Tribolium castaneum: one gene and its partner. The protein of the gene in region 2 interacts with the protein of the main gene of each other region in a pairwise test. Links are inferred from orthologs where the notes say so. Each region holds a gene or a part of one and is shown on either strand. Other genes may lie near its edges.

The links.
Region 1: the proteins of CycC (region 2) and ND-24 interact in binary tests that used the Homo sapiens proteins (3 or more experiments, as listed by UniProt). The link is inferred for Tribolium castaneum from reciprocal best matches to the Homo sapiens genes CCNC and NDUFV2.

Annotation. Positions count from the first base shown.
Region 1 is NC_087394.1:22,608,540-22,612,087, reverse strand, and holds ND-24 (NADH dehydrogenase [ubiquinone] flavoprotein 2, mitochondrial), read left to right. Parts: upstream 1-1,317; 5' UTR 1,318-1,438; coding exon 1,439-1,474; intron 1,475-1,552; coding exon 1,553-1,681; intron 1,682-2,324; coding exon 2,325-2,720; intron 2,721-2,768; coding exon 2,769-2,845; intron 2,846-2,894; coding exon 2,895-2,988; 3' UTR 2,989-3,033; downstream 3,034-3,548. Other genes in the region: Ced-12 (engulfment and cell motility protein 1), read right to left, coding at 1-1,069; chromobox protein homolog 1, read left to right, coding at 3,211-3,411, 3,533-3,548.
Region 2 is NC_087394.1:8,425,934-8,430,159, reverse strand, and holds the start of CycC (cyclin-C), read left to right. Parts: upstream 1-1,426; 5' UTR 1,427-1,555; coding exon 1,556-1,587; intron 1,588-1,638; coding exon 1,639-1,745; intron 1,746-1,794; coding exon 1,795-2,001; intron 2,002-3,841; coding exon 3,842-4,226. Other genes in the region: leucine-rich repeat-containing protein 1, read right to left, coding at 569-1,071. UniProt on the Homo sapiens protein: Component of the Mediator complex, a coactivator involved in regulated gene transcription of nearly all RNA polymerase II-dependent genes.

The DNA of each region.
Region 1 (3,548 bases), about 14 Mb from region 2:
TCTCGGTGAAATCCAGCGCCGGATTAATATCATTTTTGAAGCCCAATTTTTTGTAGTCCCGTGTGAAACCACCCGGCCCTCGCCCACCCCCCGCCCCTTCACTATCAAAGGCAATCCTTCGCAGCTCCTTGATCTTATCATGGCCATCCTGATCTTGCGGATCCATCTTCGTGACCATCCTCTGTTCAAGCAGCCCCAACATCAAAGTCTGTAGAACGTACAACTGGTGGGCCATCTCAGCCCCTAAGGCAGCCCCCGTTTGTAAAATATGATTCTGAATCATGCTCCGCACCTGCTTCGTTGTGAGAGTGGCTGCCAAAGACCTGCGTTTGACTGAATCAGCCCGTAGAAGTAACGCGTTGATTAAAGCTATAGCGTTTTGTTGGACGACCGGTGTGGCCTGGAGGTGCCCCACCAGCGAACCAATAGGTATCTCACGTTCCACCTGGCCGTAGCCTTCAGTACTATTCAAAACGACGTTTTCCAAGATTGAGAGAGCGGCTTGAGTGACTTCGGCTTCCTGGGGCGAGTTAACAAAACTCGCAACGCGAGTTATAAAATCCCCGTTGAGGATGTCCCACGACACGATCCCGTGTTCCATCAGTTCGACGAAGGAGAGTAAAGTGTGGGCCAGAACAGCCCCCTTGAACTTACCCGTCTCGATTTGCTTAATTATTAAAGTAAGTCCTTGCTTGTTGATGAAATCCAAAGCGAACGTCATGTCGGCGCTTAGGTTTGAGAGACGGTGCATTGCGTGTGCTTTCTCTTCGGCATTTCCGTTGTGCAGTTTGTGGAGAATGTCCTGAGCTGTCTTCGAAGGTGAGTATTGGAGACGGAGCACCGAACCGTTCTTAATTTCGTTGCGATTCTTCTCCGTTATGTAGTTACGGTTGTTGTTATCGTTGAATTGAAGGGCGTACTGTTCGGGGTCGCTGAGATTCCATCCGTTGCACAGTTCTTGGATTATGCCGGCGAGGGGCTGCTTCTGATTGAATTCGATGAGTTGTGGCACTTGGTCGGTCATTTCGACCGCGATTTTTACGATGTACGAGTCCTTCATTGCGGGCATTTTGTGCGCACTTGAGATTCAAAACATTATTACGCGAGTTTTGCGTTACAGGGTATTTTTCATAAATACAACATTTTGACAAGAATGACAGGAAACGGGATGACACGCCTATCAGCAGGAACGCCAACACAATCCAACAAACAACATTTGACAAAAAAATTATAAAATTATGCAATTTTGTAAAAAATCTCTTTGTTAAAATAATGGATTTTTCTAAATTTAAAACCAATTCCAACTAATGTTATTAAATAGAATTTCTTCAATGATATCATAACAAGTATTTTTGTTGGGTTGGCGACAGTGGGCAAAGTCAGCTGTCAAGTCACAATAATAATTTCGAATTTTCTCGGTTTTTCACAAATTGTGACGATGTTGACAACAATAAAGACCGTCGGGAGCTGTTTGGTAATTGTCACGGCTATTTTAATTAAAATTTCTATTGCTTCCGTCAATATTGTTACATAACATAACCTAACATTTTAGCGCCGAACTTTGGGGGTCCGTTCCCTTCAAACTGCTTCAACCCTCCAACATGAAGCAGTTTTCAATCATAGAGACACTCCTGAAGACAACCCCGATATCCCTTTTGATTTCACCCCCGAAAACAAGAAGGTATGTACCTACAGGGTGTCTCAAAATTGGGAAATTTCGAATTTAGAGCGCTTAAGAGAATTATTAAAGTAGCTCAAATATAGAAACAAAATAAAAATTCGGGGTTTTCAAATAGAGATACATTTATTTAAAGATGCAATTCAAGTGCACTCTGTATTGGGTTTCTTCAAATGCAGGCTAAAAAATTTCAGTTATTCTCAATTCATTAATTAATTATTCTTAATAAATTATTCTTTATTCTTAATTATGGTGCAGATGATTGTGGAGAATAATAATGTTAAACAATTTTTCGAAAAAATAGCTTTATTTCGGAGCAATTTTTTTTAATTTTTGAAAGTTTTCTTAAAAATAAAACGGCAAATACAAAAATTTATAATTTTTTTACTTAATTTTATAAGAAATTGTTTTACATTATTATTCTCGACAATCATTTACACTATAAATAACAATAAACACTAAAACTTTTAGCCTGCATTTGAAGAAAACGCAATTCAAACCTACATATCTTTGTGGGGAAGCCCCGAAACTTAATTTTTTTCTATATTTGGACTACTGAAGTAATTCTCTACAACGCTCTGAACTTGGAATTCGCCAGTTTTTAGACACCTTGTATACTTGAAAAGCTTGAATATTTTTTTTGTAGAGAGCTGATGCCATTCTTGCAATTTACCCTGAGGGACATAAACGAGCCGCGATGATCCCCCTTCTTGACTTGGCGCAAAGACAACACGGTTGGCTCCCTATTTCAGCTATGCACAAAGTTGCTGAAATTTTAAACCTGCCAAGGATGAGAGTGTACGAAGTTGCGACGTTCTACACAATGTTTATGCGTAAACCGACAGGAAAGTACCATATCCAAGTTTGTACAACAACGCCGTGTTGGCTGAGAGGCTCTGACGAGATTTTAGACACAATCAAGTGTAATTTGAAGTTGGAAGTTGGGGAAACTTCGAGCGATGGCATGTTTACACTTTCTGAAGTTGAGTGTCTCGGGGCGTGCGTGAATGCCCCCATGATTCAAGTTAATGATGATTATTATGTAAGTTGTATCGAGTCACATAAAAAAAAACGAAAAAATTGATTCTAGGAGGATTTGACGGCCAAAGATACGGAAGAGATTTTGAACGATTTGAAAAATAATAAAAAACCAAAACCTGGCCCCAGGTAAATATTTCATGCCTTGGTGATAGAAAAGTAACTAATTAATTAATAGGAATGGCCGTTTTGCTGCTGAGCCAATTGGCGAGCCAACCTGTCTCGCCGGTGAGCCCCCAGGTCCAGGCTTCGGGGTCCGTTCCGATCTATAATTTGTATTTATGTAAAATAAAATGAATAAAAATAGTTGAATTGGTGCTAGCGCCCTTGTGGCCATCTTTTGAATTATAGTGACATTTGGAACAATTAGTGTGTTTTTTATTAGGTTGGTGTTACAGTTGGTCACACTGTAGCACGATAATCGCTCCCGTGGCGTCTTTTATAAAAGATAAACAAATTCTTTCACAACAAATTTAAATTTTCGTGTCGCAGAAATGAAACGTAAAGGACGGAAAAGCAAAAAGTCCGAGACGGAAACCGCCAACGGCGTGAGTGACCAGAAAGACCAAAACGGTGACGCTTCGGATCGGGACGAGCACGAATCCGAACCGGAGGAAAAAAAACGCAAGTCTAACAAACGTAAAAGTTCTTCGAAGAAAGTGGAAGATGAATCGGAAGAGGAACCGCAATATGAGGTGAGTTATGTAAAAATTTCTTGGCGCCTTTTTCTTGAGCTGTGTTCGGCGAAGATGGCCATCCACCATATTGTTTTGCTCATACCGACCATGTTATTTGATTTGATTGATTGTCTCTCAGGTTGAGCAAGTCTTGG
Region 2 (4,226 bases):
CCTGTGCTTTTATGTGGATTTTTTTTTATTAATAGGCATCATGAAATTATATAATATTTAATTGTATCTGTTTTTTTAGAAAGTTTACACAGTAGGCGCTAGTAGATAAGTAATTAATCTCACGAGAATAATAGTTATTTATTATACAAGACGATAAAATCTGATTTTAACTATGAGAAGGTTTTGAGAAGATAATGGTGCATTTTATCGTGTAAAATACAAAATTTTATTTCTCCTCCATTTTTTTCGATTATTTCGAATTACTGAGTTATTTTGATTAACAATTATAAACATTAAGAAATTTAACAATAAAAAATACTTTAAAAACAACAATAGTTGCGAACTATATTTTTCTAGGCGACAAAATTCCGTTTTACCATAAAGTAGACAGTGGATAAAATACGATTTTATCCAACCAAAAGCATTAACACACTCGGCTTCGCCTCGTACTACTTTTTCGTTGATAAAATTCGACCTTGTTTCACAAGAGAGTGGAATAAAGTAAAAATAATTTGTCGATTTTTCGAAAACTAAAATTCTTTAATTTTTGGGTAAGTGTCATACTTACCTCAGTTGCACTAAATTACAGATTCCATCTGGTAACTTTGTTAACAGGTTATGCCGAGCCCCCAAGGTTTCCAACTTTGTTAAATTACCAATTTCTTCAGGTAAAGACTCCAGATAGCAACGGTTACACCATAATGTTTCTAACGAAGTTAAATTTCCAATATCTCTAGTCAAGTCTTTAATCGGATTATGGCTTATGTTTAGAGTAATCAACTGAGGCAAATCCTTGAGTACTTCAGGGAAACGATCGAAGTTATTGTACTCCAGAGACAAATTTTGCAAATTCTTGAGCTGTCCGAGACACTTGGGCAGTTCAGTGATTTGATTATGACCAATGTTTAGATATGAGAGGTGGACACAGCTCACCAACAAGGGGGGAAATTTGACAAGGTCGTAATCATCTAGCGCTAAATTCGTTGCTTTAGTTCCATGAGCTTTTTCTATTTTTGCCAAAACCCGGTTTCGCTGAATGTAATCGTACACTGGATTCATTTTTGGAAGCATTTAGAGGTTATGTCGCACAAACTCACTGATTATTTACACAACTTGTACACAAGCACACATTTTTGAATAAATAAGAATCCAAAAAAGAAAACTGGGGGCCCGAGCCCCTACACCATTCCCAACACAAAAAAACACACAAACAATAATTTGTTTGTTGTCACAAGTGGCGCTTTGACATTTGAAGTAGTTCAAATCAACCAAACATTTTCGTATCATATGGTTCGAACGAAACAAACAATAAATAAAATAAATAACAAAACTGAAAAATTAGCGTTCGTTTGTACTTAATTTTAGTATTCTAAGGTCTACAGTTTTAATAAAAGAGGTCGTAGGTTAAAAAACACCACAGTAGTTCCATTGGTTGACACTTGTCACTTGACTGAGTTTCTTTGACCGGTTTCTTTTGCTTTTGTGTTAATTAATAATTGACTGGAAGCTTAAAGTTATTGCCTGTGATTTAATTCAACTCAGATTAGTTTGTGCAATGGCTGGAAATTTTTGGCAAAGCTCACACCAGTAAGTTACGATATGAAAACGGCCCCAAAATCACAAATGAATTTTTTCCAGCCAGCAGTGGCTTTTGGACAAACAAGATTTAATTAGGGAGCGCCAACATGATCTCCAACTCCTCACGGAGGAGGAGTACCAAAAAATATTTATATTTTTTGCTAGCGGTATTATTTATATTAGGTTATTATCAACTCTCTTAATTTATTTTTTCAGTCATTCAAACACTAGGCGAACAGTTGAAGCTACGCCAGCAAGTTATAGCAACCGCAACGGTTTATTTTAAGAGGTTTTATGCAAAAAACTCACTTAAGTGCATCGATCCGTTATTGTTAGCCCCCACTTGCATTTTTCTAGCCTCCAAAGTAGAAGAATTTGGGGTGATTTCCAATTCTAGGTTAATTACAACGTGTCAGACAGTCAGTAAGTTAAGTCACAGTCTCCGTGATGGTCTTAGATGGCTGGTCTAAAAGTTACCAGATATAATTTTCCCAAGTTTTTGTTAAAAAAATTACCGAAAAGCATCCAACTTCGGAACTACGGATATCTAAAAGTTAGGATATGGTACGACGTACAAATAAAACGTTCCTGTCCTTGATATTTCCGTTAATGCCGCCAGAGAACGCTGTTGTTCCATTACCAAGGTTTTCAGAGCAATAAATTTGAAAAAATGGTTGTATTTGTATAACGGTTAACACACAGCAAACAAAAAAAATACAGGCAAATAGAGCATTAAATTCTCAATAGTAGGACATAAACATAATGCAAAAATTTTATCATAAACTATATTTAAAAAAATTTCAAACTTTTACCAATTTGCACTCTGTCCCATAATTTTCAAAACGCTGCGAATACGGTTACAGATATAAATAAGTATATACTATTTTTATTCGAGGGACAAAAATTGGATAAATAAGTCACGTCGAATTTTTTTGAACTTAGGGATCAAATTTTATAAACAGAAACTCTTGAAAAGATTAAAAATATATTACCGGACAATCGTTTAATTTTTTGAGATAAATTGCTCCAAAACTAAAATTAAAAATGTCTATTTAATGAAGTATTGTTTATTATTAATTGACTGATCCAGAAATACTGTCTGTTGACAATACTGAATTAAAATTTTAAATGTTCAAAATTAATTGAAATTTGGTATATGCCTGAAAGTAAATTTATTCATCGAATTATTTGTTTAAAAAAAATTTCCATTTGTTCTGGGAATATTAAGACTAGCTAGTCTCATTGGTGAACCCAAAAGTCAAATTTAATATTTTTAATTATTTATTAATTTAATTTAATTTATTATGTAAAAAAAATATCGCACTAAAAAAATTGGTCAGCTTTGTAAATCTTGTCTTTATCTAAAGATAGCTCGTTGCCGCCTCAACTTTTACCAAAAAATAAGTAAAAGTTAATAATAATTGAAAGAGAACACATTTAATAAAAAAATGAGTTGTATTAATACTTATTAGCGCCACTGTATTTATAAGCATTGGTTGTTCTTCGTTAATTTATATGCTAATATCTAGCTTTCAAGTGTTCAATTTTCTCTAATAAATGTTTTTTTGTAGTTACGACTTTTTTGCTTAGTAACTTCAGCAATTTTTTTATTTCAATTGTTTTAAATTGAAAAATAGCGCTCTAAAAAGATGTCTATAAAATTGCGTATCAATTTAATTTTTTTCATTAAAGTTCAAAAGCATATAACATAAAGGTGCGATTTAAAGAAAATTTAAGAATCACGAAATAACTTAAAAATACGTAAAAGTAGTTACAAGGTTTTTGTTTAGCAGGTCAGTTTAATTCTCTACAAATTTCTTCCTAACATTTTTCTGTATCTTTAATTGTATTCGCAGCGTCTTCTTAAAGCACAAATTAAATAAAAAAATTCTCATGTTTGTCATGAAACTTGTAGTCGTCAGTCTTTCTTAGTCTGTTAAGAGTGCAAAACATTTCTACATTTTTTCCACGTTATTAATGAATTGGTTGGTTTTAAATTAATTTAAAACGATTTGGCGACAAGACGGTATAACGCTCGTAGCGCCCTCAGTTTTACTCTGCCGTACTATTTTTGGTCTCCTAACTTATAGTCCTCCGTATTCAGAACATACCACTCAACAGGGCGACCTCTCGCGGTTATTTAATTAATTACAGTTTAAAAATCCAAAAATTAATATTATATTCTGTCGTTAATAATTTCAAAGCCGTCTAAGATCGAAGGAGGCTAAGTTAAAACTAGCTTTTTTAAACAATCTATTTTCAGTTAAAAATAAGTTTAGTTACGCCTATAGTCAGGAATTTCCATATCGTACGAACCACATCCTAGAGTGTGAATTCTACTTGTTAGAAAACCTCGACTGTTGCTTGATCGTCTATCAGCCTTATAGACCTCTCTTACAACTAGTGCAAGACATGGGTCAAGAAGATCAACTTTTGACTCTCGCCTGGAGGATAGTGAACGATTCTCTTAGGACTGATGTGTGTTTGCTTTATCCACCATATCAAATTGCAATTGGCTGTCTTCAAATAGCTTGTGTCATCTTGCAAAAGGACCACAAGGCTTGGTTTGCCGAACTGAACGTGGACATAGAACGAATTCAAGAAATTGCAAGATACGTTATTAATTTATTCGAGCTGTGGAAGACTTA